Linked DNA regions of Lepisosteus oculatus. The protein of the gene in region 1 purifies or fractionates together with the protein of each later gene. This does not show direct contact. Links are inferred from orthologs where the notes say so. Each region holds a gene or a part of one and is shown on either strand. Other genes may lie near its edges. The genes, in order: spag9b and RCC1 domain-containing protein 1.

Region 1 (15,121 bases):
TGACTGGAGGTTGTCTTAGACCACAAATGACCAAACTGCTAAGAGTTGCTAGAAAAAGCGGAACCATGTAACATCACTGCACACACAAACATACACATCTGTGGGGGACGTGACAATTTCAAGAATAACCCTGTCCTTGTTTCTTATGGATTATTCTTGAACTTAAAAACAGCATTTAAAGGCACTTTTAAACTACTTCAATACCCTCAGAATCAAATTCTCTCTGGTTGCATCTATGAAACCCCAAGCTCTACAACTAGGCAGATTATTTACATAAGGGCTTCCCCCCCAATTAAAATTTGTATGTTGCAAAGTGGACTTTCTCACTAAAAAAAACTGCTGCCTTGAGGTTTTGCGCCGATAAAAAAAAAATAGACAAGAATAAACCAGAGCAGATTTCCAATACAGCACTTTGGTCCTAAACTGTAACCCGCGCATTAGGTTGAACTATCAATGCTGAAGAGGCTGACAGAAATATATTTCACTGAAAACGTTTCGCTGAAACACATCACCATTAAAAAGTGCCTCTCAAGATACATGTTCATAAAAGCACACCTTGCATATTAATTAGCACTGAAAGAAAAAAAAATCTTATTGTTTATAGCATTCTGTAATTGCAGTCTAGAAATTCAGATATAAATCCCCAGGTTTTGGGGCAGAAATAAAGCCAATTTGATGGTAAAAAGTTCAGTTTAGAGACATGTCCTTGTCTGAATACCACCGGCAGCCTCTAACTCTTTCACAGCAAATAATCACTTACATTATTCTTTCATAATCAATTTACCAAATGGTAGAAGCTTTGTGCATTTTTTTTCTGTATGCATAAAATACTGCCATCTTTTAACTAAAAAGTATGTTTTCTCCCCCCTGCCCTGAGTGGAAAAACAATAATTGATTTGATCTTCTAGGTACCAATATTTCTTTCTTCTGAAAATATTTCTTATTACACACTAAGAGGCCTGTAAAGGAAAGCAGACCTGAAGCTTAATTACTAACCATCCTCTTATGTTTCGTTTATGAGAAAGTAAAACAAACCAAAAAAGAGACTGAGTACTGTTACTGAACAATTTAAAGTGAACTGAAAAACACTGTCTTCTTCTTAGGCTGTCCATGTAACTTTAAAACCCATATGACAGTGATTACAACGCATGTATAATAACTGTAGTGGATACAAGGGAAGAGGTTAACTTGGGTGTGTCCAAAATCACTTCCTAACCAGTTTATGCCAAGAAGAAAAGCAGATCAGCATTGTGAATAAACATCATAGCCTTCCAACTCAGCAGAAACAATCCAAGAAAATGACTAAGTGTAACTGTGTAGCTGGCAGCTCTCTCCAGCTGTCTGCTGGCTGGGAAGATAGTGGTGATGTGTCACTGAACAATTACATCATCATCTCATGTTTTAACATCACCAGAGAGGGGGAGCACAGTCACAAAGCAAGGCAAAACGGCCTCAAGAACTGGACACCGAAACCACAATACTGAGACACTCATCACGTGTTGTCAAGGCAACAACACAGAACCAAGAGGCCTAGCCATTTGTGAAGACACTTTACAGCCTGCTGCAGCACAACTGCTTTGCAAAGCTTATCTCTTTGAGTTTGCAGCAGCTACACCTGAACTTTGAGCTGAGCCATAATGCCACTTAGACACATAAACCGCAGTGGGGAAACACTATTCTCAATTAATGAGTTATTTTAAATTGATTTTTTTTCCCCCATTTTTCTGGAAGCTACTTTTGCTGGAAAGGTTGTCAGAGTTGTACATGTGAAACAAGGGCTGCATGGCCCATTTCGCTCATTCCGTTGCCTGTAACATATTGATCTGAGGATTTTTTTCTTGCCGTTTCACGAAAGATACCAGGGAAACAACTCGGAAAGATAGCACTGCAAGACAGTTTGTTCCAGACCCTAACAACTATTTGTGTTAAGATGTTTGTTTTAGCCCTCCAAGCCCACATTTTCTACTTTGATAACTTTAGTAAGCAATTTCTGCAAACTAGACAAAACAAATATGGCAGAAGAAGAAATATTTTAAAATACATCACATCCAAATCCTCAAGGTCTTTTTCCCCCAATTTTAACCAAGTTAAAAAAGAAACATACATATGCAACAAGAGCATTTCAGGTAAAAAAGACAATGCCAAAAGCATTCCTAGCAGGTTAGTGAAAATGTCAGAACTCACTGCTTTCTGACATGCAGATGAGTGGATGTCATTTAAGTTTTGCCATTTGCTTATCTTTGCAGTTTTATAAATGTAATTGAAATGCTCCGACAATCTTTTTTTTTCCCCAGCAGCGATGCCTGCAGCTGTAAAACCACACATACCCACATGAAGGAGCCTGATCAGGTTTGTTCTAAGTGTCCGGTTAAAATTTAATCAGGCCAGGAATGAAAACTGCTGAATTGGTGAACCTAATTACACTAAGTGATTGCACCACTAGTGTCCATTTATGTCCAGATCAGAACACATAAAATAAAGCTCATCACTTGCCAGAAAGGCTCGGACATCAACGAGCATTATTAATAAGGATGCATGTCGATTATTTGACTACGCTAATTGATTTCTTGGTTTCTGCATTTGCTGGGAGGGGGTTATAAAGGGACTAACTGGACAGAGCTTTAATTTTGATTTCTGAGTTTGGGTATTCGTCATCAAGAAATTGTGTGATATCATGAAAACCACCATGCAAGCTAAAAAGCAAAGTATTTGATCAGGGACTCTTCTCGCTGTGTTCAGGAGTCCACGTAGTCTGTCACATCTTGGTTCTATAACTGTGGAGGTCACAGCCTTAGTCCAGCCCTACCCCAGGAATAAGCAAATAATTGCTCCATGCTGTACTAATAACTGCTGCCAAAATCATAAAGCTTCTTTCTTAATTTAGTCAGAATTTGTGCTTCATACCAGGCTTGAGGCACAAGGGATACACTGGGCAGATGAAATTATGGAAAGTATGAGCGGACTATTGAAGGAAGTAATGAATCAAACTGTCATCTCAATCCAAAACTATTCAGTCCACCAAAAATAGTACCTACCAGCTTTATCAGGATGCAGTGTTCGTATTCTGCTAAAACTATAGCATAAGGTTAATCAAGCATTTTCTTCCGGAAAAGGGCATCTTTTGCATCAATTAATGCTTATTCAATGTCACAGAACTCTAAACCTGTCAAATTAGACAACATATTTGCTCAATAACTGAAAAAAAAAGCTAACAGCTCCCTGAGCAAAGGATTCAGTCTGTATTATAATCTAATTAAATGTACAGAAGACCTAGTGTCAAAAATGTTCTCTGTCCTTTTTATTTATGCCTTATTTTAAGATATGGGGGCTCCACATTGATTCAGGCTGTTAAATAATATGAAATGTATCCTAAAGCCAAACCTTCAGGACAGTGCAAAGCCCCACACAGCATCTCTCCGGAGAGATACACTGGGGTGTATGAATCTAGCCAAGCACTGCACATACAGGTAAACCTCAACATGCCACATAACCTGGATTTCTGCAGCTTACTGAATACCTGCTTGACTTCACAGTATGAACTCTGACAGCTTGGCTTCACTATCCCCATCCCTGGAAAGCAATGTGAAAGGAGATGCCCCGTCTGTCAACGACAGTCTTCTCCTCATCCAGGGATCCACTCAGCAAAGCACCACTTCCTTGCATAGCATAATAATACATCAGCACCTATGGACACAGATGCTTAAACAATTTCAACGTGTACTAGGAGCTCTGAGAAACTGCACTGCTCCATAATGAGCCTAGACAGGGGTGACCAAGCTCTTAAAGCTCCCAAGGCTTAATTGGTGGGAATTACAGACTTTCTTTCTTCTAACATTCTCAGAATAACATGCACTTTCACTTCCTAGGACATAAAACCTATATAAAATGCAAAAGAGAAAACCAATCCAGGGCATTTGCACTACTGTGATTACTAAAGCCCATGTGCCACTTGTAGCAAAGCCAAAACCAGTACAGGCTGGAAACTAACTGCCTTGATTCAGATGGAGGGCTGGTTCCCACAGGGCAACCAATAAGCACAAGATCTCCCATCTGCCTCTGATTGGTCTAAAAATGACAAGTGCATGAAACATGAAATGATTCCCATTCTCCTAGGTAATGTTGTTTGTTAGTAATCAAAATACAGAACTGTGTATGCAAGTTTCTGCTGCTACTGCCATTATGCATCATATCTGAGTACAGAAGAAGCTGTGGGGTGGCTGTGATTGTGGCTTTTGAGATTTAGTTGAGCTGGCAAGGGCTGACATCCACAGAGTTGCACTGCACAGCCATACGGTTCTACAGCATTCATGAAGGATTAAACAGGGAATACAGCGACAGATTCTCATACGGGCTGTGATAAAGGCAATCCTAAAATACCCAAGTGCAAAATTCTCCATCAGTAACCCCACTATAGAGCAGATAAGGTGCAGAATAGAGAAACTGGTAATCAATTGAATTCAGAGAGAAATTAAGGATGGCAAATTGTGCAACTCCAGAGACATTAACCAGGTCACACTCGGGTCTTATGAGCAGTGCCATGTGATATTGTAATGCCTATTTACTGTAGTCAGGACCTTGAGTTAATATCTCTTCTGAAGGAAGGCCCTGCCTATAGCACTAAGAGCTGTCCAAACCAATGTCCCAGCATGGTGACATTTTGTTCCAGTGGGAAGAGAGCAAATTACTGATCCATCTGTACAACAGCAAACCTGGCTTTCCTTAGAGTTCACCCAGTCCAGTAGTAACCTGGTTCTAACTTGATTAGCTTCTGAGATCTGTTGTCTCACTGCCACTGACGTCTTCATTGTACAAGTCGTTTCCCTTTAGCAATTTACTTCTTCATTAAAATAGTTTTTTTCCAGATTCGTTGATTATGGATACACCACCTTAACTTCATAGCTTGAAGATAAAAATAGGCTAGTTAGATTAGGCTGGTGCACGCAAGTGACTCAGTTCAGGTAGGGGCTCTTCAGAACAGCCCTTGCCACTGTTAAATGGCACAAGTACTGCATTTTTCCGCATCAGTGATATGAAGAATGATTGATGTCAAATCAAATAGTTTGCACAAATACAAGGGGACTCTTAGCAAATGGTCATGCAGGGTGAATATTTCTGAAAATAAGTTCCTGTGAATTGCCAAACCTGCAATTCAGATCCACAAACCCGCTGGCATTAGCAAAATATTCCCATTAGAAAAACTGTACAAATAACACTGGAACAAAATCATTTAACACGGGTAGAAATCTAAAAATCATTCCCTTTTTCTACACAACTCACTATATATTTCAATGTGAACACCCAAATCCTGACAGAGTATCTCAAACCATTTCATAGCATGAAATCATTCATTAAAGACTAAGTCTAAACTTAAAACACTGAATAATTGCTTATTTTTAACCAAATTAAATGTACTGCTCTTCACACAATATCATAAATAAAACATTAAACTTGAAACTTTTAGTGTCATGACAACTCATGTGCACATACTTTATCTTCGACACTTATGGTCCATGTTAAGCAAACAACAATAAATGCAGACTAGGGGAAAGGATGTTATGGATTTCTATGATGAAATTAAAAGGAAAGTAATATAATTAAAAAAACAAGAAACCTCAGTACCCCAATAGTGCCTAATCTCAGTTCTTACAAAATAATGATAGAGGAACCACTCAAGTGCTTGATACACCAGCACACCTGTGGGATCCGTTTGTGAATGACTGCCAGCTTGTACCTTCAAAGCACTCGCTGAACTTGACAGATAAAGGGATGCAAAATGGATAAGTATATCCAGGAATTTTACTACAGGAAAATACACTACAGCACCTCCCTCTCCATTTCTTCCTCTGTGCTTTAAAAATAGCAGGCCACTCTCTCTTCGGAAACGGATAAACGAATAACGATCTAGTCCCGCAGCTAAACCAACAACCTCCAAACCTACGAGGAGGTCCCTAAGAAGGCAAATGTGCGCGCAACCTTGTCAACTCTCCCCGTCACCGGTTCAACAATCCGATGCTTCTGCCACCACCTATACAGGGGCACAGGAACTGCCTGCGAAGGGGCTCGGCACGACGGCCACAACCTGCGGAATGTGAAGCGTCTTTACTCAGAACGGCAGTGCAGTTGTTTTCTGGAAAACCCAAGGCACGTCCGAACTTACTTTTTCGGGGTGGGCTGGGTTGTGACTTAATGGCAGCTGAATTATGAATTATGGCAGCTGACAGAAGGAAAATGCAATCGGGCGATGCCACGGCACGATGATTAAGGGATTAAGGAAGAAGGGTAACAGTTAGCTGGGTCTCTGGACGCACCGTGCAGTGCAGATCGCTCATGCCATGATGCGCGCACGGTAACGCCTGGGGTGTTGTACACCGTGTGTGGCCCAGAGGCGGCTGGCGGTTGGCACAGGGTCGGTGCAGGAATATGATGAATAATGCCAACGGCCTAGCGGGGACAGATCACCCCCCGCCCCTTCTCCCGGCTCAATCCCCCTCACCTCCTCGGCGTGCTTCCTCAGCGCCTTCTCCCTCTCGTACTGAGTGATCAGCTGCTCGTTGTCCTCCTTCAGCAGCTCCAGCTCCACTTCGTGCTCCTGATTCTCGGCGAAGACGGAGTCCAGGTTCTCCAGCACGGCCACCACCAGCGGCATCAGCTCCTTCACCACGTCCTCGTCGTACTTGCCGATGAGCCTCTCGAACTCGCGGTAGATGGAGCTGGCCAGGCCCGACACCCGCTCCGACATCATTGCCGCCGTCCCCGGGTCGTCCTGGTATACAACTCCGTCCTCTAACTCCATTTTCTTCTCTCTCTCTTTCCGATGCGGTGCAGCCCTCCACCTCTTGCTATCTTGTACGAATTTATCTGCTCCTCAACGTTGTGTAGATGCCGGACTTCTTTAAAAAAAAATTAAAAAATAATAAAAAAATAAAAGAATCCGGGCAAGTTGCAGTCCCTCCCTTTAAGGGAGCGATGTCTTGTGTTTTATTTGGCTGCCGCTCCTCCAGCTCCCTGTGCAGCTGAGTTGTTGACCAGACCGTCACGTGATGACGTCACATTCTAAAACCGGGGCTGGGATTTGCGAGTGGAAGGGCTGGAATATTGCGCTGCAATTTTCGTTTCTTTAAAGATTACGCCTGGGTGTCTTTAATTAATTAGTAGTTTCATTTTGCACGAGTCGTGAAATTAATATTTTTGAAATATTCAAACAGAACAGAGTGTATCGAATTATCTTTTTGTGCGTTCACTTCTTCATTGTCTTCCAAGTACTGTATTCGTTTTTATTTATTCAAATGCACTGAACCATTCGACTTGTTCGTTTTTAACTAGGTAAGTCTTGCATTATGTGTTTTAAGACAAACATAAGTAAAACTCAAAAGAAATAGCCAATTTAGAACCCACTGGAGGAACTAATTAAACTAGTAAAGAACTTATCGAATGTCTGCACTTCTGATTAGAATATATCCCTCAGATGAATGGAGGTGGTATATTATCGAAAGCAGAAAGTGAGGAAGTCTGTTGGATTATTAAATATTAGAACAAGGTGGAATCTGACGCCAAAATGTTTAATTTAGTTCAGGTTTGTGAATCTGTATATGGTGCTACACATGCGGTTAGTGCTTGTTTTTGAATTGTTGAAAGTTGGTATGTCATGCCCAACGAACATGTGCAATATCATATTTAATACATTGCATTTTAAAAAGAAATATTTTTATAGAGTGCCGTCTACCTGGCACATAAGACGTTTAACAACTCACCTGCTATAGGTAAAGCTGAGTCTGATTTGATGTTACAAAACAGCGCCCTCTGCTGGGTCTCAAATGTTGCTGCTCGTTTAACCAGCTCATACTTGTTCCTTGCGACGTTGGTATTACCACGACCAAAACAAAATTATATAAAAAACAGACATTTTAATTTACCATGGTTCTGTTTTAATATGTCAAACTATCCCAATAGCAAGCTCTTGAAATATGTTTTCCTGACACTCCTGCTGTTTTACAAAGTGCTGAAAAGACACAGCTCTCAGTCTTCAATTAAAACGCGCACACAGAAGTGGTTTACACAGAGGTGTCCCTATCAAAGCAGAAGTTAATCGACCTCTAGTTGGACCGAACGATAAAGCAATCTGTTGGCTTAGAAAGGTACGTTTTTGTGCGCCGCAAAATGTCGAAAGTTCCGAGCTTAATTATTGTTCTTGTTACTGATAACGTATGTATTTAATGGTGCAGTAGCAGCTGTATTTCTACTTTCACGGTTGAAGTATATGTAGTATGTTATAAGAGTTCGTGTTGTATTGGAAGTTGCAAGGTAAAAAAGCTGGTTGAAATAAATGTGTGCACATTTAAAACCAATGTTCCCATGTCAGAATTCCTCTTTGGAAAATCTGTTGCCCTCTTTGGTAAGCGGGACTTAACAGTAAAATGGGGTGAATGGTATTGTAAATTCGTGATCGACTCAGGATGAGAGAACTAAAGAAATGTATGTATCTTGAAAAACAGTGTTACGATTTCAAAATGTACAACACACACATAACTCGTACGTTGCGTGTGAATAAATCAGGTCATTTTAGTTTTGGGAGCGAACCATAAACATTAGGTTTTCAAATGTTTAACGCAAAAGCTATGAACCCCACATACGGGATACAGCGTATACGGCGTGCATGTGTAAATTCACTGCCTCCATCACAAGGTCTCTGCTTTCTTAAAACTGTGTCGGAGTCTTCTCTTCTTTCGATCGCTCCTCATGTACCGAGCAGGTGCGCCCCAGATGTTGTACGATTTCTTTTAGCTGGGTCAATTCGTAACATCAGTGGGCTTTTGTTCAGTGCAAGTGAAAAAACTGCCTGAGGTCTATCTAGCTTCATTCGTTTGGATACAATAGCTCTTTGAAGGATGTCAAATAAAAAACAGAAGTGTCATAATTCCGTTCAACTCGTGATATGTCTTTGGGTGCCTGCAGAACAGGTGCGCTCCATTGAAGCAACGATAACAGACTCCCCCCCTCAGGTAGTACGGTGGCCTCCAGGGGCCAAAATCCTCCGTGTAAGGACTGTGTCGATTACCATTTCCTCGTTCCGACCAATGGCAACCAGGGGGTTTACCCTGCGCCTGCGCTCTGCAGATATGATAATTTTGTTGATATTCAGCTGGAGTTCAATATTTTGGGTTTTAGTTTGATTTTCTGTTCTATTTCTCCTTCTCGGGAATTTTACAACTGCACACACAAAACAAAACGGCATTGCATGAGGGGCTGATGGAAAACGCCAGGGATTTGGTGAGTTGAGCGGGGAGATCGAGCGTGGTGCTTTGGAGTGCAACAAGCCTGTTTTTCTCTTCCTTTGTTGTGATTGTCAGCCTGCAGCAGAAACAGCAGTAGAAAAAAGGGGCCTCCAGATTCGCCTAGGTAAAACAATCAGGTTTCCAAAGGTTCGGCTGACGGATTGCCGGGGCTTTAACGATTGTGAAGCACCCGAGAATTAGCTGAAACACATTGCAGAGACGCTAGTTTGCAGGACGAAGTGGAAAAGGCGTGCAGGCCCGTCACGACTGCAGTGGTAGTAGCATTCAAAGCACACACACAGATAATGCTTCCTTGTTTTTTTGAAATACTTGGTACGTAGACTTCCATGTCATTCGTGTATGTAACGGGTAAATCCTTCAAAATACGTGTTTTTCTGATATTACAGATAAAAACCCCAGCGAACACACCTTGTTACTAGGTGTTAGAGTTCCGAAGAAATAAATGCTGAGAAATAGCTGCTTATTGCTCTGTAGACCAGCGTTGCGGGTTACCATTCTGCTGTTACCGTGTCACACAGCAGTTTCGCTCTGCCTTGAGATTTTTAAGCATTTCTGCCGGAGTTCAAAATCGTAGCCATGTTTACAAATTAGAGCCCGGAAATGTTATGATACCAAGTTTTAAATGACTTGTTTAAATATTTGCGAAAACTCGGTATATCTTTTTATTGTCACCTTTAACTCGTAGTGTACTGCAGTTGGAGTAGTTAAGCTTATTGAAATACTTACAACTGTCGTTTGCGGCCGTAGAATGTATTGCATCCTGTGAAATGCATATGAAATCGAATAGCGATCATTGAAATTTCATTTCCATAAATATTTGTTTTTCTATGTGTAAGGTGCTCACTGACCAGTAATACATATCCTATACAAAGATTTTCTAGGTGTATTTCGGGTGTAGTAAGTTTCCACTACCATTGAAAGTTGGAAATATTGGATGGTAATAAGTGGAAGAAATAATTGTAAAAATGTTTGCAAGGTTTTTTTTAAGTTCTGTTCTTATTATCTTGGGTCTTTGAGTAGCATTTATTGGAACAGCGAGATTCTGTTTTGGGAGTTCATCATATTTATCAAATAAGTCTCTTCTGTGCTTAGAATACTGTTCAAAGCTGCCACCCATTATACCATTAAAATAAACTTTCTTATATGCAGGCTAAGAAACATCTTTTAAATATTGATTAAGTTGTCACAGTAGTAAGCTCCAGCAGATAGTGGATTTTGCACTGTACAGCTAAACTGAATACTGACACAACATGTTCTCCTTTCCAAAATACGAGGTGTGCCAAATAAAATGTAATGTTAAGAGCAAAGGGATCAATTCAGGAAAAAGAAACATGCTCTAGGCATGCCCCATTGCAGATTCTGAACTGCTACTCATGAGAGGGACCTGGATGTCTAGATTCTTCTATGTTCTCATCAAGACACCAAAATGCCAAGGTACTGTATGTAGCAAAACCTGAGAAATTTAAAACAAGGGAAGCTGGACAATACGCTAGTGTGGACTAATTAAAAATAAAAATCTATATAATTCAACTTTGGTTACAGTGTAATGACATTACATGTGGTTTCATTACTCATAATTTTTTTCTAAAGTTATTTCCTTTTTAACATATTTTAATAGACAGGTTAAAGGAACATAGTCTGTTTAGTTTAGATAAAGTAGGCTTGATCCTAATATTAATAATAATTACTTACATTTATATAGCGCTTTTCTGGACACTCCAGTAAAAGCACCTTACAGGTAATGGGGACTCCCCTCCACCACCTCCAATGTGCAGCACCCACCTGGATGATAATATCATCCAATATATCTGCCTCTGAGGTTTTTATATTGGGTCAACTTATAGGACTACTTACGACTCTGTAATGAAAATAAATTATTATGACTGTAATAAAACATAGATCACATTTAGAAACTAAAGGAGCAATCATTTAGATTGGGGAGTAGAAAACATGTCTTTACACAAAGAGCTGTTGGGGCCTTTAAGAAGCATTCTAGCTAGGCCTGTGTTGAGATCCAGAGTCTGAGAGTCTGAGCTGCTTCAAGAAGCAGCTGAATTTGCAGCTGTTCGCATGTTCTTATACTTTAAAATGCACCATGTGTTAAGTTTTGTTTAAAAGAAACTATAGAAACTTTGGTATTTTGAGAAAGGTGTTTTTGCAATCTGGAATCATGCTCTTAAAATAAAGAAAAATAGGCAGCATACAGTAGCTTTGGTGTAGATTTTTAATCTGAATACACTAAGTGCACATTGGTTTTCAGGCTGGTTAATATGCCTGCTGTGTTTCTGATTGTAACCCATAAGGCCAAGGCAATAGGAAATGCCAGGTCTGCAGCCAGCGCTCTTCAATGCCTGTCTTTGTTCACCCAGACTGAACACACTCCTCGGTCAGACAGGAAGAGGCGGGACTCCTTCGGGATGTATGATGGGTATGACAGCTGCAGTGAGGACACCAGCAGCAGCTCTAGCTCGGAGGAGAGCGAGGAGGAGGTCGCCTCCATACCTGCCAACCTGCCCATCATCAAGAACAATGGGCAGGTGTACACCTACCCAGATGGCAAAGCTGGCATGGGTCAGTCCACAAGTTCACGCTGCCCTCTCACAACACAAGTCTAATTACCCAAATTAAAGGCATAGCACACAGAGTGTTTGGTGTTTATTTTATAGCGCCATACCACCAGCACACAGAGTGTTTGGTGTTTGTTTTATAGCGCCATACCACCATTTAAAATGCAGTTAAGTCATTCTGTCTTTACTAGAGGCCAAACTTACTCATTGCTCTTTCAATATTTTTTAGCTTTATTATCTATATTTAAAATATCATAGTTGTGATTATTTTACATTCTTTCATTCTCTGTTCTGTTGAAAAGAACATCTTTCAATAGCTGGTGTAAATAAATGCATAGCTATATACTGTACATATATATCAACTGGTAATCCGTAGACTGAAATGTGAGTTACAAGGGCTCTGGGAAGAGTCATCATCACTAAACAGAACTAGAAAAAGGCAAGTTTAAAGGAAAGTCACATGACAGAGTAAGCTGTGCAGATTTTAACAGTATTTGCTTGTGTTGAATTATATCGGGTGTGTTCTGTTTTTTTTTTTCTGCATGACATTAATGAGTAAATTGAGAAAAAAATGTTTCCAGCGACAGTCTGGGATCGTGCAGGGATGTTTGCACAATTAAAAGGTTTCTCACTGTTCCCACCACTTGTAAGTGTGATGTAACCCACAATTGCCTGTTCTTTCAGCTACCTGTGAGATGTGTGGAATGGTGGGAGTCAGAGATGCCTTTTATTCCAAAACCAAGCGATTCTGCAGCGTCTCTTGTTCCAGAAGTTATTCCTCTAACTCAAAGAAGGCCAGCATTCTGGCTAGGCTCCAGGTAATGTTCTTTATTTTACACGTGACCCCAAAGAAAGCTGTTTTGGTGCTTGTGTTAGCAAAAAGACCTAGGTTAGAGTCACCAGCCAGACGAACAGCAGCTGTATTCACTTTTATAAGATTGTAATCTACAAATAATGTACATATTAATGTCTTTATATGTTAATAACATTGAATATTGGATATTTTTTATTTGCAGGGTAAACCACCTACAAAAAAGGCAAAAGTCTTACAAAAACAACCTCTAATGGCCAAGTTAGCAGCATATGCCCAGTACCAGGCAAACCAACAAAACCAAGCTAAATCAAAAACAGGTGAGGGACAGTGAAGTCCTGTAACTGTGACTATTTAACTAGTAAGAGTTTGTATATTCACAGAGTGGTTAGCATTTACTACATTTTACTACATGTGTGAATCTAAGAATAAATGACACCTTCCTTGATGCAGAAATTTGAATTTTGCATTCTGTAATGTACATAGTGTAGGTGCGTGGTATTACTAGATCATTACTCTCTTATTAGTGCTCCCAGAAGTAGCTGAAAGGAAGCACATGGTTGATGAATATAAGCATAGCACACAGAGGGCACTGCCTTTTGGAAAATGAATGCCGTTTAAGCTTGCCATTTCTGAGTGGGACTCTTATAAAAACACAAAAAGATTCAATTTCTTGAAAATGCATTAAAGATATTTAGGGAATTGGGTGCTGGAGTGGATATTAGCACTGTTGGTAATAAGTCACCTGAAGCAGTGATAAACTGAATATATTTTATCTTTCTGTCCTTGTCTTGCCCTTTTCAGTGGTTCCTGTGGAGGGGTTTGATTGGGGTCGTTACATCAGCAGCAATAACTCTGTTGCGGCACCTGTTAGCTGCTTTAAGCACGTAAGTAGAATTAAAACTACTACACTGTTTGTTATTGTGCTTTTACAAATAGGAGTTATGTTTTTTTTCCATATTAATTTTATTTCAGACAAATGCTTCTCTCCTTTCAAAATGGTGAAATGTTCAGAATATTGCAGGTGCAGAGCATTCCATTAATTTACTGCCAAGATTTGGGGATTTAGTGGAATTAAGATTGATGAATGTTTTTTTTATCATCCTATGAAAAGTAGTTTTCCTGTTTTAAATTTGTAAACCAGGTACCAATGGGAAGGTCCTGGGGTGACATCTCGGAAGGAGTAAGAGTAGAAGTTCCTAACACAGATAGCAATCTGCCAGGAAAGGTCTACTGGATCGCGGGAATCGTCAAATTAGCAGGTATAACCAGAACCAGAGCTACTCAGGTAGTGAGAAGAAAAAGGAGAGGCAACTCTTTGTTGAAAACTTCAGAGATAATACTTAATTGTTTCTCATTAAAAAATCTTCTGAGTGGTGCAGTTGAAGGCCTTGCAATTTATGATCATCAGGTAGCAAATGATTAATTGTTTAAATTGTGCCATATCATGCAGCATAGTCATTGTTGCAGCATAGTCATTGTTGCAGCAAAGCACAGACCTCACCTTACTCATGATATTCATGATACCTTACTCAAGGTATTACACTATAAAAAATACTATAGTATTTTAATATTGAATTTTTCTGGTTAAACAGCCCACATTTTGACCAAACCTACATCTGAGCATAGGGAGTCTTGCCCGGCTTAGTAGCAGCCCTATAAATCTCTGTTAATTGGACCTGTCTGATCTATTTGAAAAGTCTGAGCTTTTCATTATTTTACGTGCAAACTATATTTGTTTTATCTTCCAGTGATGAAACAAACTAAATACCATATAAAAGGGCCTGTCTGCTGTGAAAGTACACATAGGGCTCTGATTATAAATACAGAATCACTTGAATCCCATGAGCTATGCATCAATACTCTCTTCCTACTAAGTATTATAAATGCTTCAGACTCATCTGAAGTACTGCACCTCCATGAGGCAGTGTCCATGGTCCAGTGCCCCCTACAAATCTCCCATCACCACTTGCAACAGTAACCTGGTTTCTCGCAGGCATCTCCCATTGTGATTCTTACTAGGCCCAGCCTTTCTGACCTCCTGAGATTTGATGAGACATCACAGCAAGGTAGTAATGCCCGATCTGTTCTGTGTGTAGGCTTCAAGGCACTGCTGCGGTACGAGGGCTTTGACAACGACTCCAGCCGAGACTTCTGGTGTAACCTCTGTGTTCCCGATGTGCACCCAGTGGGTTGGTGTGCTACCAGTGGCAAGCCCCTCGTACCTCCCAAATGTAAGTGAACTGTGCCAATCCCAAGTGTTTATCAGAAAAATAATTTTCAGCAGCTAATACATAACTTATTTTTTTAAATCTAATTATTTCCAGTATAATTAATCCTCCAGTGTAGACACCCTATCTGTCAGCTTGTATATTATTCTGTGTATGTTAATGTTTGAGTTACTGTATTTTACTTTCTGTTTATCCATCTAGCTGCTTAACTGCCTTTCT
Region 2 (16,186 bases), on another chromosome or scaffold:
TGTATTAGCCAAAAAGAAGTTATGACTTAGACTAAGGTAAAAAATAAACCAGTGGAATTGCAGAATGAACTGACTGACAGCGTTGGCAGTTGGTGCTGCTTCCTAACAGCTCCTGGGTGTGATTCCAACCTATGAAGTGGGACATCCTCCCTGTTTTCATGTGGGTTTCTGCCAGGTGCTCCAGTTTCCTAGGTTAACTGGCATTTCTAAAATGTGTGTATGCCCAACCTACAGTCACCCTCTTTTAGCTCTGTGCCTCCAGCATAGGCTCTTGGCTGCTGTACCCCTTACCAGCAATGAGGCTTTTCTGGCACTGGCTGGTTGGATGAGGCAGTATGGCTAACAGACCTCTTGTATTTCTGAAGCTCATTTAGGATTATCCTGTGAGCTGGCTGCCCTGTGAAAGAGTCGGAGCCACTGCAAGCAAGCCGTCTCATGGTCCTCTTCCTGACAGGCAGGATGCCAGCATTTCAAACTGCAAATTTTAACTTTTTATACAATGGAGCTCCATCTTGTGCCTTAAATTATAATACATTGTTTTAATATTTTTTAGAACCTTAACATTTTGTAGATGAATGTAGTTCTACTGTGAAAATGCTGTTATCTATTTTATATATGATCTTAATACTCTCTCGTGCAATAAAACATTTTCTTCTTATGTGTGCAATGTGTTTGCAAGATTAACAAGTAAAAACAAGATTTTTCTCTCAACAAAATTGTGTTCTCACTGTACAAATGCACCTACACAACTCAATACTGGGTAAATTAAAGTTTAGTTTTAAAACAAGACACTCCAGAAAGTCTACAAATCTTTATTAATTGTCCATGGAAAATTAATGGTGATTAGAACACTCCACACTCTTGTAAATATCTTTCACATCCAAGTAGGAGGCAAAGGTCAAGTTTCCTAGTTCTGTATTTTATTTCATAGACTTAGACTTACATGGTGACCTATTCCTGTCATTAAGCAAATATTCAAAATAAAGTCATTATTTCTAAGGTTCCTAAGTTTTCTCTTCAATATTCATGATTCAAAAGCTATGTAACAATGGAACAAAGCATCACTGTTACATCGCAGAGCAGTAGACACAGCTTCAGAGTGTTAAAACTACTGCATCAACATCTGCTATTTTCCTAGGCTGAAGAGCTGAATAAAAATCCAGAAACAGCGGGCTTGTGGGATGGAGCTTACTGTACATCACAAGAGCATGGCTTTTTTCTCTTCTGTATAGACAAAGGTGTTCCAGGGCCCACACACCACATCCACCACCCGCAGGCTCTGTTCAGTGAAGTAGTCCACACGGGCAGGCTGGTCTGAACTGTGTGGAGTTGCCTGGCCGAGCTGTCCATAATCACCTGCAACACCAAGAGCCTTACAATACAGCATAATACAACAGAGGGGAGAGACTAGTTAATTATTTAGTTTAAATTAATTTTATTAAGTTAATTATTTACTAAAACCTGTTCTCTCTTGTACCCTAGAGTGGACTTTTATTATCCTTGAAAACAAATACTAAATGGATTCTTCATATCTGGGGACTTCAAAACGTTTACAGGGAATAATGCACCTTTGTCTAAAATGCCATGATAACTGCAAGCCCAATCATGCTCAATAGAATAAGTGATAAAACAGCTGGTTTGGCAACGCTATTAAACTTACCCCAGCCCCATGTGTAGAGATCACCAGTACCTAAACCATAAAACAATGATTTACATTTTATTTACACAAGTCATAAGGTCTTTATTGATACAAATTACTGCAGGTGAAAAACATCATTAATCCTCATTAAATTACTTTGAAGAAAATAAATGGTTTTAACCTTAATGTCACAGTAATAAAACACAGATACATTATGAATTTGCATAATCTGAAAATATTGAAATTGTTAAACATTTATTTAATGCTAACTGTCTTATGTTAATTTCAACATGTCTACCAAGCATCACAGTGAAAACTGCGTACACTGGGAAAGAGACATTTTTGTTACCTACATGCAACTGCTGCTGTGTGGCGTGACCCACAACTAGCTCTGGTGACCTCTGACCCCTGAGGCAGGTCCACCAGGGCAGGGAACGCCTGGATTGAGATGAAGACATCACTGTTCGCATCCTGCTCTCTCATCATCCCACCACTTCCTGCTGTATTAAAAGGCATCAATTTTACAAATACAAAAACCAGCATGCATCATGCACAATTTCCAACACTGCATCACCAGCATAACGCCTGGCCACCTCACTGCATGTTCCTGCTGATTTCTAGATAATTTCAGCATCTGTCCAGATAAGTGGGTCAAGTGCCCGCAGCTATCTAATTAATTAGTGAAAAAGAACTTTAATAAGAAATACAGTAAAACCTCAATATTCGCACATTCTGGATTTGTGTTTTCAACAATTAGGTGAAAAGTATTAGTGACCACTTTTTCCACATTCTCAGACCAAATCCCCCTGTTAATGAACTGGGCAGTAGGAGATTAAATGCAAGCACCCACTTGCTCATCTTCCTGCAGACCTACTTCACACATCCTGCATCACTCTGCGGTAAAGGCACTGCCTGGTTATCACAGAGTTGGCATGTTTGGGTAGCAGTGCATCATGGGGTGTGCATGTGTTCAGCTTCCTTCAAGAAAGCATTAGATGTGCATTGTATGCAGATCTGTTATCAGAGTAATGCCTGTATGTAACTCGGTGGTGTGCTGCCAAATTAAAGAAGTGTTACATAACAAATACCTCTGTGGACACATACTATGTTAGGTGGGGAGCTGCGTCAGCATGCGTAGGCTGCAAAGGAACAAGTAAAGGTTTATTCCTTGCTGAAAAAAAGGAAGAAAGAAAACAACGTTTCGGCCGTGGAGCCTTCTTCAGGTGTGAGGCAAGAATAGGAGTTAGTTGAGTGGGAAGGGAGTGAATACACTTAATGAACTTTTTTGTCTGTTATTATTTTGGTGGAATAAAGTACAGTAAACTATTAAAGTACAGAATGCACATACAATAACTTGAATTATAGAGGGAAAACTGCATTTTTAAGTTTTCAGTAATTATTGGTAATTTTCATTACCAATAATTACTAACGCTATTTCTGAAACAGTTAAAAGTTGTTTTAAAAATATTATTCTAGAAATGCTTGTTTCACGAGCCTCAGAATCATACCCTACGTTCCCCATAAGTCCAGAATTTGGAAATTCGCCCTTCAGGAAGACTTCAAGGTACCTAACCCTAGCGAATACTGAGGTTTTACTATACAGTATTAATAAGGACAGTGTGTGCATATATATGTATACACACACACTCATGTTTTTTTCCCCAACCCTCAACAGCCTAGTTAAGTATATAAAGACCACTCTACAGATGCTCTATCAGGGTCAGTTGGTCTGAGTTCGAGGGGCCTTACTCCCACCTGCTCCACTGCTTCGCTGCTGCTGCTCTGCTCTCAGGCCGCGAGAGGGGAGCCCCAGCTGGCCTCTGTCATTCCAGCCCCACACATACAGGTCTCCCCCTGCTGCTCAGGGAAGAAACAGAGAAGACCGACAGGTCACTGAGGGAAAACCGCACACTGCTCCCTAACACCCAGACCCCCCCCTCGCACGGCGACAGCTGCCTTCTCCCGCACAAGTGGTCCTTGAGAAACTGGGCGCACGGGCACGGCCCTTACCACTGATGCAGGCTGAGTGCCAGCCCCCTGCGGCCACGTCCCTCATGGAGAGACCCCACAGCGCCTCCACAACCTGAGGCTCGGCCTGGCTGTCCAGCCCCCCGTGCCCCAGCTGGCCATGGCTGCAAACACAACAAAGCAGCCGGGTCAGGGCAGCCTGATATCGGGAAGACGGAAGAGCTTTTCAAGCTGTGGTGGTCATTAAAAATCCCAGGGTGTTTCTCGAAAGGAGTAGGGGAGTAATCCCGACGTCCTGGCCAAATTTCCCATTGGCCCCTACCAATCGTGGCCTCCTAATAATCCCCATCACTGAACTGGCTCCATCACTCTGTTCTCCTCCCCACTGACAGCTGGTGTGTGGGGAGCGTTCTGGCGCACTATGGCTGCCGTTGCATCATCCAGGTGGAGCTGCACACTGGTGGGAGTGGAGGGGATCCCCATTACCTGTAAAGAGCTTTGAGTGGAGTGTCCAGAAAAGAGCTATATAAGTGTAAGCAATTATTATTATTAATCTGTTTAAGCAGGGGTGGGCAGCACCCATCCTCAAAGGCCACAATCCTGCACGTTTAATTAGTACTGCTCAACCAGCACACCAATTAAAACCAGAAAAAAACAGGCGATCTGACTGATTCTTTTCAAATAAGTATTTCAATTACTTAATTAAGATCACAGGGGGACTAAATAACTGAAAACCTGTGTGTTTTAAGACATCATACTGATGCACATCGCTGCCATTAGTGGGTAATGATGTTCCTGGATCAATGTGACTGGTAGCAACGCAGTTTCTGATCAATGATTAACCAAAGTGGCCATCTGTGCCTGCACGTCCTGCTCTCACCTCCCAGAGCCCCAGGTGTACACAGCTCCAGCGGCAGTCAGCAGCACCGCGTGCTCAGTGCCCAGAGCCAGCTTATGAGCACAGAGCTGTGGAGACAAGGGGCGATAGAAAGGGACATCTGCAGCTACATAGCCTCCAGGAACCAGTGGCAAAGCTGAAGCAAAACAGAAAAAGAGACATTTTAACATCTATGTGAAAGAAACTGTGAAAGTAATTTAATCTCCATTTAAGAAATCATTCTTCAGCAAGAAAGGAAAAACCAAAACTCTTTTTTCCACTGAGCAGCAAAAAACAGCATCAGACTAATATTAACATATAACAGCATTGTTACAGGAGTTTGGGTGAAATTTTTAATTCCTGAATGAATCCTCTTTCAAAAAACATTAGTTGGCTCACAATATGTTAACTGAACACTGTTACTTCCAGACACAAAGCTGAAAGAACTACCTACAGTATCCGGACTGGAGCACTCCATCTTCCAGATAGTCTTGCCCTCCATGTCCCAGCATTCCACTCTGTCTGCGAAAGCCAGCGTCAACAACCTCTCACTCACAAGGGCATCCAGGCAACCCTTTGTTCTTGACACAAAGCTGGGAGGACCTGTTCCAAAGCCTGACAGACAGACGGGTCCATCACCTGGAACAAACCAGGCTTTCGAATTAAAAGAAAAAGTCTGACTTTGCAACTGATGCACAGCCATAACAAGGCTATTTTGGAAAGCATGTTTCAGTGCCATTTCTTAGAGATGTTAGGACATACTGTAGATGAATGATTGCGAGCTTATTTTGGATATAGGTGTAGTATTTTTGTAGGTGCAGTTGGTTGTTAGTTGTTATTTAAGGATGGACTTCAGAAAACCATTTTCTTTCTTCTTAAAAATAAAAAATCAGTAGGTGCATACATCTATGTAATTATAAGTGCCAAAACTCTTTATTTCAGCTGACACATTATACAAATCCTTTAAAATTTCACAATAACCTCGAACAAATGACACGTTCCTGCACGCCAATGTAGACCCTCGCACGATAAGAATTCTGCATGTAAATACAAGAAGTAAAGTCTCCAGTTTTCCTTCGATTGTGCGAGGTATTTAAGACTTGCATCCTATCTTATACCTCTCCGATGGAGCACAGCTCTTCTGCTCCAGCTCGCTCGGACCTGAGGACAGCGTTCCTCTTGTCTCTCGACAGGCGTCTCTTCATGACTGCCACAGCAACTGAGCCTGGTTGGGACCAGGACTCTCACACCCCCACTGGGCACGGTTTCTTCTGTCTTGCTTAACTGCGATGGAAGAGGTGTTATCTGTCCAAAGACATTAAATCCGAACCCAAACCAAGGCATTAAAAATAAATATTTGCAAACGGATAACAATGCACCTTCGTCAAATACAGGATTTACTTCTCACTGCTAACAGACAACTTAGTAGCAAGTAAGCTTTTACAACACTACAATCACGGAAGCCTGCACGAATTCTGCATCTACTGTACGAGAAGTCAGAAAGAGCGTCACCAAAACCAAGCACCGTAGTTAGTCTGCATAGCCCCGCTGCTTTTCGAGGGGTACTGCGCAGGAGTATTCAAAATAATTCAAAACAACCGAGGAGCGTTGACTCACCAAGAGCGTCTGCACCCTCATATAGTCTTCATTCCTCTGACAGCGCCACCTAGCCAGAGGGTATGAAACACCCGCGAATTACTTTGTTCACGAGGATGATACATTCAACGCATGAAAATTTCCCAAATTCCAAACTTCCAAAAACATAATCCCGTGCTTTATTGCCCATGTTAGATTTAAGATATTATTGATGTTATTGTACACAATTTAAGTGTCAACTGCATATCAGTTTAACACTTAGATGCTGCGATACACTATTAGCATAAAAATGCCTACTAATGAATAATTACACCAATAAATAAAGAAGTTTCTGTGGATCTGCATAACCAGGTTTGCAAGCAGCACATTCCAAAACATCCTATTAGCAATTAATAATCATTACACCTTGCAAAATAATGTATTATTTATATATATATATCAGCAGTTATATCACCCTGCAATTCACAATTAGAAACCAGCTGAAGCAGGTGTGAGCCTGGCCAGTACCTGAATGGGAGACCTCCTGGGAAAACTAAGGTTGCTGCTGGATGAGGTGTTAGTGAGGCCAGTGGGGGGCGCTCACCCTGCGTTCTGTGTGAGTCCTAATGCCCCAGTATAGTGATAAGATAAGATCAGGTCAGATCACTTTATTGGCCATATACAATTTCTTGCATTAGGAATTTGTCTTTTCACATACCCCAGCTTGCTCTCCATGAGACACACAGACACACAGACAGGGAGAGAAGCTTGGGGTCAGAGCGTAGGGTCAGCCATTCATACGGAGCTCCTGGAGCTCCTGGGGTTAAGGGCCTTACAATACAGCACAATACAACAGAGGGGAGAGACTAATTAATTATTTAGTTTATTCCTAAAACATGTTCTCTCTTGTACCCTCAGAGTGGACTTTTATTATCCTTGAAAACATAAATACCAGCATGCATCATGCACAATTTCCAACACTACATCACCAGCATAACGCCTGGCCACCTCACTGCATGTTCCTGCTGATTTCTAGATAATTTCAGCATCTGTCCAGATAGCTGGGTCAAGTGCCCGCAGCTATCTAATTAATTAGTGAAAAAGAACTTTAATAAGAAATACAGTAAAACCTCAATATTCGCAAATTCTGGATTTGTGTTTTCAACAATGAGGTGAAAGGTATTAGTGACCACTTTTTCCACATTCTCAGACCACATCCCCTTTTAATGAACTGCGCAGTAGGAGAGTAAATGCAAGCACCCACTTGCTCATCTTCCTGCAGACCTACTTCACACATCCTGCATCACTCTGCGGTAAAGGCACTGCCTGGTTATCACAGAGTTGGCATGTTTGGGTAGCAGTGCATCATGGGGTGTGCATGTGTTCAGCTTCCTTCAAGAAAGCATTAGATGTGCATTGTATGCAGATCTGTTATCAGAGTAATGCCTGTATGTAACTCGGTGGTGTGCTGCCAAATTAAAGAAGTGTTACATAACAAATACCTCGGTGGACACATACTATGTTAGGTGGGGAGCTGCGTCAGCATGCGTAGGCTGCAAAGGAACAAGTAAAGGTTTATTCCTTGCTGAAAAAAAGGAAGAAAGAAAACAACGTTTCGGCTGTGAAGCCTTCTTCAGGTGTGAGGCAAGAATAGGAGTTAGTTGAGAGGGAAGGGAGTGAATACCCTTAATGAACTTTCTTGTCTGTTATTATTTTGGTGGAATAAAGTACAGTAAACTATTAAAGTACAGTAGCACTGCATTTATAATAGACATAATAGCAATGGAAAAAGTAAAGAAAATGCACTCTACTAAGTATAAAAACGAATACAAACAAGAGACACCACATTATTTTATTTGCACATGCAATAACTTGAATTATAGATGGAAAACTGCATTTTTAAGTTTGCAGTACTCATTTTCATTACCAATAATTACTAACGCTATTTCTGAAACAGTTAAAAGTTGTTTTAATAATATTATTCCAGAAATGCTTGTTTCACGAGCCTCAGAATCATACCCTATTTTCACCATACGTCCAGAATTCGCAAATTCGCCCTTCACGAAGACTTCAAGGTACATAACCCTAGCAAATACTGAGGTTTTACTATACAGTATTAAAAAGGACAGTGTGTGCGTATATATGTATCCACACACACTCAAATGGGAGACCTCCTGGGAAAACTAAGGTCTCTGCTGGAAGAGGTGTTAGTGGGGCCAGGAGGGGGCGCTCACTCTGTGGTCCATGTAGGTTCTAATGCCCCAGTATAGTGACAGGGACACTATACTGTAAAAAAGGAGCTCTCTGTCAAATGAGATTTAAAACGAGGATCCTGACTCTCCGTGGTCATTAAAAATTCCAGGTTTTTTTTTAAACAGTAAGGGTGTTAACCCCAGTATCCTGGCCAAATTTCCCCCTAACCTTTACCAATCATGGCCTCCTAATAATCCCCATCTATGAACTGGCTTCATCGCCCTGTTTTCCTCCCCACTGAGAGCTGGTGTGTGGGGAGTGTTCTGGCGCACTATGGCTGCCATCACTTCATCCAGGTGGGGCTGCACACTGGTGGTGGTGGAGAGGATCCCCATTACCTGTACAGTGCTTTGAGTGGAGTGTCTAGAAAAGCGCTACACAAGTGTAAGGAGTTATTATTGCTGTTGTCTTATACAGCATGTACAGATACTGTAACTGCTTGTCAACAACTGTTTCTCCACCTTTTGGAAATGATCTGCTCCCAGACCATGACCCTGTCACCCTCAGTCTGAGGAGAAAGGACAATACTGGCTTGTATTCAGTATTTAAAACATGGCGATTGTGCTGGCGATTCCCAAAACAATCCCAAAGCCAGTTATACCAATGTGTAATCACACGTTTCATTTCAGACTTTGACAGTACCACTACTGTCAAAAAAAGGGAGAAGAAAATGTCATTTTGGGAAAAAAACAGATACTTTCCAAAGTTTATGTGCTGATGCTGCCCTTTTTGTACTCTGATGATGATTACTACAAAATAATAATTGTATACTGTAGTGCAAATGCAAATGAATTCTGTTTTAACATCCTTATTAAACTTATATTTGAAGACCACTTCTTAGTGTCTCATTTTTGTGTAACAATCCAAACATAATGTTCATTTCTTTACAGCAAATAATATTTCACCTATATCTACAGCATGTCATATACTTTAACATACAGAGGATTGAATTGCCTCCACTTCTCCTGTGATCATAACATCAACACCAGCTCCATGTTAGACTCTGCACTGAAGTGTAGTTCTCCTGAAAAAACTGTCCATGATACATCTGCACACTCTGCATATGGAATATAGTGTTTATTTAAGCGTGAAAATAAGATGGATTCTTAAGACAAATTACTTTTTAAAAACAAATTAAAAAAATAACAAAACCTTCATAAACAAAGATATTTAAAAACTGGTATATGTAGAACATAGTATATCTTATTGCTTCTTTCTGTTTTTTTTTCTGTTTTCAACACACACACAGGAATGTTGCCATAGATAAAGGACAAGAAGTTTCTTTCACAAACATCTGGTTCACAGACGTCATTCAAAGCATATTCCTTCAAGTTCCCTGTAAGTACAAAACTCAGTTAAAGGACATCTGGTGTTGTGTTCTTATCTAAAGCATGACTGAAAAAAATGTTCAGGAAATGTAAGGTCTGTGGATAAACACCTGGAGACAACCACACAATCATGCAGTGAAATACTGTATTCTGATGTCTCTACAAAATAAAAAATCTAATCAGAAAAGTATAAAAATCTGACAACATACAGTAGGCAATGAAAGTGGATGTAAATTACATTTTTTATCCTTTTTTCCTCCAATTAAGTGTTTTTTTTGTGTGAATAAAGAGTTAAATGTTTTTAGGATGTGTGGAGCAGATCAGTTTTAATGAATGTTCTTTTGGGGACAAAAAAACAGTAAAAATAGTTCAACAACACAGATAACCCTTGGGCAGTGGGCAATAAAATAGAATAATTAGACAGATTTGGATAATAATTCAGAAAATTAAGACAACAGAAGGCAATCTTTGGTCCCATTCCTGAAGTCTACAGCCACAAAAAAAGGAGCAGATTTACAGTGTCTGTGTTCTGATCCCTTGTTTAAAGTGTCAAGGAAGACATAATCCTACTTCATAGCGATCGGATGACGGGCATGTTTGTTTAAAACCCATGTAGTGCCAAGTGGATGTCTGAAGAAGACAGAGGAAGTGCCTAGACAAAAGAGTGAATTCCAAGGCTAGTGTCCCTGTTACAGCCTAATTCCCTCTAAATTACACGACTGGAAAACAACCTTCTTCTTCGATGAGTGCAGTCCCACAGCACCATTTCCTCAGCATGATCAGAGGGAGTGAAAGGCACTCGGAGCCCGACTAGGCCAGCAGCTCCTCGCTGGTGCCCTCGCTCCCAAGACTTCTGATAATGCCATACTCCACTGCCACATCCAGACACTGCTTGGCAGTCTTGGCAGCGGGGCTCTGTGTTGCGATGTCCCCCTTGGCCAGGACGGTCAGGATCTCCAGCACCTCGCTCTCCATGAGTGTCTCGGCCAGGGTCCGCTCAGCCTGCATCAGGTTGAGCACGAGGGCAGCGCCTCGGTGCTGCAGCTCCACGGTGTCGCTCAGCAACAGCGCCTGCAGGATCTCCAGCCAATGGGTGGTCTGCAGGGAGAGAGGCCGCCACAGGGCAAAGGTCAGGGGTTAAGGGGTCACATACTCCACACTGCTTTCAAAGCAGCTTCTGTTATCGCAGTTAGCACCAAATCAATTGTTGTTTCAATAAGCATAGAATTAGCAGAAGCTAGGATCTGTAACATGGGCCACACAGACACACTTGCTTCTGAGCTCATCTGTGATTTTGAAGCCATGCTTACTGTGGCGGGGACACGGGCGCAGAGCTGCGGCTGCACAGATGTCAGCATTGCCAGGGTGCCTGCCGCAGCCTTCCTCAGCCTCTCATCGTCTTCCCCACTGTACAGCACCAGCAGCTTCAGACGGTCGCTTCCCGTGGCGACGAAAAGCTCCTGAACCTGAGAAACACCACAGGCGCTCTCTGAGACCAGAGCAGACTGCTCCTCTGCAAAGATTCTGTGCTCAGTCAAGCTCTCAATACAAATCACAGGCCCGAACCTAACTGGCCAAGCCCCAGCTGTGCCCAAATCCTAATCTCTTATCCCTTACTCTCACCTTATACAGTACTAAAACAACCCAGACTCAGTTTCACAAACTAAACATCAATCCTCACTACTACGTGTCCTGATACGAGTTTCGGCCCTCACTTACCTGTCAGTTTTCACATTTCCCACTGTACCGATTTCTAACTCGGAAACAACAACAACAGGATTATCATTATTTGAAAAGGTTAAGCTTTGTCGTTTCCCAATCCACTCGGTAGAAACACTGAAAAGGAATTCGTAATAATGAACGATGTTCCTGCAGAAAGCCTCTCACCTCCGTGCTCAGGACCAGGTTACACATGCACTCAGTGGCTGCTGCGCGGACCAACTCGTGCTCCTCGAACATGTACCCTTCAATTTTCGGCACAGCTTTCTCCTTGATGATCTTCTGCCTGCGGGCCCATACACACACAGTCCCTCAAACTCACAATTACCTCTACACAGTGGGCCCACTCAGGAGAGCGTGATCGTTCACACCAGATAACGATCTAGTCAGATCCTTGTTAATTAAAGAAGAATAATAATAATAATAGCTTACACTTATATAGCGCTTTTTCTGGACACTCCACTCAAAGTGCTGTACAGGTAATGGGGATCCCCTCCACCACCACCAATGTGCAGCCCCACCTGGATGATGTGACAGCAGCCATAGTGCGCCAGAACACTCACCACACACAAGCTATTAGTGGGGAGGAGAACAGAGTAGGCCAATTCATAGATGGGGATTATTAGGAGGCCATGAATGGTAAGGGCCAATGGGAAATTTGGCCAGGACACCGGGGTTACACCCCTACTCTTTTCGAGAAACGCCCTGGGATTTTTAATGACCACAGGAAGTCAGGACCTCGGTTTTACGTCTCATCCGAAGGACGGCGCCTGTTTACACTATAGTGTCCCCGTCACTATACTGGGGCATTAGGACCCACGTGGACCGCAGGGTGAGCGCCCCCTGCTGGCCCCACTAACACCTCTTCCAGCAGCAACCTTAGATTTTCCCAGGAGGTCTCTTATCCAGGTACTGACCAGGCTCACACCTGCTTAGCTTCAGTGGGCTGCCAGTTGTGAGTTGCAGGGTGATATGGCTGCTAAATGAACAAATAAATAAAACGACTCATTCCGCACTGATGCAGGCCAGGAAAACGTCTGTTGTCATGCAATTGGGGAGACAATCTAAGCGAGCAGTGCCATTTAAAAGGCTGAGAGGCAGGTTCAGGCTCTGGGGAAAGGAGCTTTCTCTCAACATCACTGCAGCCCCCATTAGCGTCTATTATACTGCAGACATTAGCATCTTAACTCCTCGCATGTCTCGACTGACCTGAGCCTCTCGCTGATGCCTGCTAGGTTGGTGAGCGCCATGAGGGCTTCAAAGTTCTGCAGCAAAGTGCGATCCAGGGCCAACAGGCTCACCAGCGGTCGCACCACCTCATAGATCTGTAGCCAAGAAACAGTGTCGCAGATCAGTCCAGCGCATTTACCCCACACTTCACACACAAACACCCAGGACAACACGATGGGCATCGGAAGTGATCAGATGTCACACACCTACAAACCAGCAAAAGCTTCATCACACTGCACCAGATGCAGCTGCATTGCACATAATAGAGTGGACTGTCAGGATTCAGTCCCTTCGCATCAAATAGGGCATACCACCTCGATTCAAGTGGATAATTGAAACTGGAAAGGTATAAAAAGGAGGTCTTCATCACATATCAAGTTTCAGGCCTCACCCGCTCTCCAGGGAAGGCAATTTCAGGGTTAGACGTAATGGCAATCTTCGCCAGGGCCTGTGCTGCCTTGGTTTTCCCTACATCCGTGCCTTCTGTTGCCAAGGGGATCAGGGCCTAGAAAATAGGAAATCGAAGTGAGGCAAGAACGCCTTAAACGGCAACCAAAAGACGGGCACTGCACTGACAAATGTGACAAGCTTCAAACAAGACGAGTTGCCCCGACTCTCATGTTCTGATACCGGGAATTAAAAGTAGTGACACTCAGTTGGTAAAGGCGTTCTGCCCTGGTGTGGTTAAGCTCCATGATCCAGACCTTGCTGTTTGATTTGAATTTGCGGAGGGCTCCAAGAAGGGGAGCACAATAGGCTCAGCACCACAAGGGGGCAGTGTTGGGATATGTCGGCCAGAACTCTATTCTGTCCCAACAAAATTGTCAAAAAACAGTAGCCAAGCCATGAAAACACACAACTGGCACAAACACACAAATTCCACACTGGACAGATATTAAACAAAAACAGGAATTTCAGGATAATGGAAAAAGTTAATTTGCAATCTCTACTGACTAGAATGATATATGCTAAAGTGAGACTTCAAACACAGGAGACGTACGTGAATCGGAATCGCACCACCACCACAGTCGGGTTCAATCACGAGCCAGAAAACCTCACCTTCCCACCCCCCTGAGCCACTACTGTGCCTCTGTCCTCCTGCCTCTCCACCAGAGCCAGGAACACCCTGCAGACGGAGACAAACCACAGAAATGTGTCACTCAGAGCCGCTGGTCGGAGGAAGAGGGTCACGGTCATCAAAGGAAAATGGAGAGAAGACACTTGAGCACGGAAGAACGATGCAAGCCCCAAGCAGGACAGAAGAAGAGTCTCCAGCACTGGACAGAAGGGTACTGAGTACGGATCAGAGCTCACCTGGAAACGCACTCCCTGCACGACTCGGTCAGGGCAGGACTCTCCTGCTTGACCATGCACACTAGAGCCGACACCACCCCGGCCTCCAGGAACTTGGACAGGCGCTTCTGCACGAAAGCCTGGGCGTCCTGAAACACACAAACGTGTGAGACAGCAGCAGGAAGAACATACAGTTCAGTACACATAAGCACTACATTTCACAAAGGAATGCAAATCTAGCAGTTGAATGACAAAAAGAGCAGCAGCTCTTCATAACTGGGGATGCTTCCAATTACCTTCGGGTGCTCCTCAGGAACGTGCTGCTTGGCATACTTTGCCAGCTCCACCAGCTGGGGGTCAGGCTTCTCGACATCATAGCTGTTAGTGCAGTTGACCAGCGTGGAGCCCACAGCAAAGAGCACCGTCTTATCTTCAGACTGCAGGCAGAGAAGATCAAAGACAAAACAACATTGCCATTTAGGAATGGAACAGAGCCTAGGTCTAAAAACCACCTGGTCTCATGAGTTCAACACTGTATCTGAAACAACAGACCCTGGGCAATGTCTGACATCCCAAACAATTTGAATTAAAAATAAGTTCCTAATACTTCTTAAGTCAGTCAATGGCATAGTTCCTAAGTCAGTGAGCTGACAAACCTTAACCCTCCCAAGAGAGACCAGCAGTTCACAGAATCACTTTTTTTTTTAGTCACTTCATGCAGATGTTCCTATTACAGAAAAAAGGCACTGTGTGGCAGCTACAGGTTAGCTATTTTGCATTTGACTTATAGTGTACATAATACTGACAAGCAGTATGAAAAAGAGCAACAATGGGCTGGAAAACTTGAAATGGTATTCAGGATTGGCACATGCTGATGTATGAGTCCAAGTCTTCACACAATTATTCCCAGGGGAACAGAAATAGTCCATCTCCTCTACACATCACTGCCAATGCCTCTTGGCACAGAGGCATCTACTTAAATTGGCTTGATGTGCCCTCACCGCACCCCAGCAGGGGTACCTTTGCCAGCTGGAACATGGCCTGCAGAGCCTGCCTGTCCTCTGCCAAATCCTCCTTCACATCAGCATCGAAGGTAAGGTATGCCAGGCCCTCGATTGCCCAACGCCGTGAGCTGGGAGGAAGAGCCTCATTGCACAGCCACCTGCAAGAGTCGCACACAAAAACACGTTCCACCTGTTGCCCACACACCACCACTTCTAATCTCTGCACTGTGCACAATTTCCTGGGCGCGAAACTTTCTGCTGCCCATTAGCTTAACTTTGTTTTAGCATTTTCCTTAACATAAGTTTGATTTCCTCCCGTACTCACCTTTGAACAGACAGAACTTTCAGAATGCAGAGCACACTGCTTTTAAACCTATCTACGACACAATGAGCCTCAGTGCAGCATGTCTGATTTCCCTTGGCGTCTGTTATGATGAGATCAGGGACTTGGGTGAACCTCTATAAATAGAATTTTTTTTAATGAATGTCAGAAAATGACACTTACTTTCTGCACTGCTTGGCTAGTTTCAGAGTGGATCCCTCGGCAAACTGCTTCATGCTGAAATCAGTACCGCCTGCAGACCCCAGCTTACACAGACCCTACGAGACACACAGGCCCTCACATTCTTCTCCATACAGTCACTCTGCAAATGGAGCTCCAGCAAAAGAGACTCTTACACACATAAAAGGGTAAATGCTAGAAAGGCAAAATTTCTAGTGCAGACACGATTAAGCAGTCTGTCACAATGTACCATAAGCCCAAAGGAAAGAAACATTTCCTGAAACTGCAATGGACTAAAGCTGAAAATGTTCACCTAATTGCCAAAGACCGATTAACAAAATTAAAAGAGTAATACATCTGATCTGGATTGGAAGTGCAAGGAGGGCAGTGTAATCGCCATTGGTGAAAGCCAACGTTTGAATGAAGCCAAAACAGAAAGGATGACTTAACCTGTAATGGAAAGAGCTGAACTACAGTAGCACACTCGTCTTTTTTCAGACCAGTGCAGTTCTGAGACTGAATGCCGCTAAAACGGGCCTGTGATCCATCGTTTCTGCAGAGAACTCTGTGACGGCTCCTCTTGGATCCAGAGTCTTACCACGAGCGCACGCACACGGATCCTGTCGTTCTCGCTCTTCTTGTAGAGGTCCTTGAGCAGCGTCACCCCATTGGCCGTGATGAAGGAGGCCCTCTTGGCTTTGCCCGCTGCGTGGATCAGAGCCTCTACTGCCACCTGCTGGTGACTCAGGTCGGGAGAGGCGCAGAGGGAGATGATGCTGTCCATGATGCCCGAGAGCT

The links.
Region 2: the proteins of spag9b (region 1) and RCC1 domain-containing protein 1 purify together in Homo sapiens (affinity purification with mass spectrometry; 3 studies listed by BioGRID and IntAct, counting the BioPlex papers as one, with this or other methods). This does not show direct contact. The link is inferred for Lepisosteus oculatus from reciprocal best matches to the Homo sapiens genes SPAG9 and RCCD1.

What each region holds. Positions count from the first base shown.
Region 1 is NC_090704.1:33,785,648-33,800,768, forward strand, and holds the start of spag9b (C-Jun-amino-terminal kinase-interacting protein 4), read right to left. Parts: upstream 6,977-15,121; 5' UTR 6,794-6,976; coding exon 6,494-6,793; intron 1-6,493. Other genes in the region: mbtd1 (MBT domain-containing protein 1), read left to right, coding at 10,698-10,727, 11,663-11,864, 12,545-12,678, 12,877-12,991, 13,476-13,558, 13,789-13,933, 14,771-14,905. UniProt on the Homo sapiens protein: The JNK-interacting protein (JIP) group of scaffold proteins selectively mediates JNK signaling by aggregating specific components of the MAPK cascade to form a functional JNK signaling module.
Region 2 is NC_090700.1:60,922,820-60,939,005, reverse strand, and holds RCC1 domain-containing protein 1, read right to left. Parts: upstream 6,052-16,186; 5' UTR 5,829-6,051; coding exon 5,603-5,828; intron 5,124-5,602; coding exon 4,935-5,123; intron 4,642-4,934; coding exon 4,488-4,641; intron 3,772-4,487; coding exon 3,650-3,771; intron 3,497-3,649; coding exon 3,389-3,496; intron 2,140-3,388; coding exon 1,993-2,139; intron 1,691-1,992; coding exon 1,661-1,690; intron 1,357-1,660; coding exon 1,199-1,356; 3' UTR 797-1,198; downstream 1-796. Other genes in the region: calcium and integrin-binding protein 1, read left to right, coding at 366-387; unc45a (protein unc-45 homolog A), read right to left, coding at 10,451-10,738, 10,951-11,106, 11,528-11,645, 12,569-12,684, 12,981-13,094, 13,649-13,715, 13,904-14,031, 14,179-14,319 and 3 more. UniProt on the Homo sapiens protein: Plays a role in transcriptional repression of satellite repeats, possibly by regulating H3K36 methylation levels in centromeric regions together with KDM8.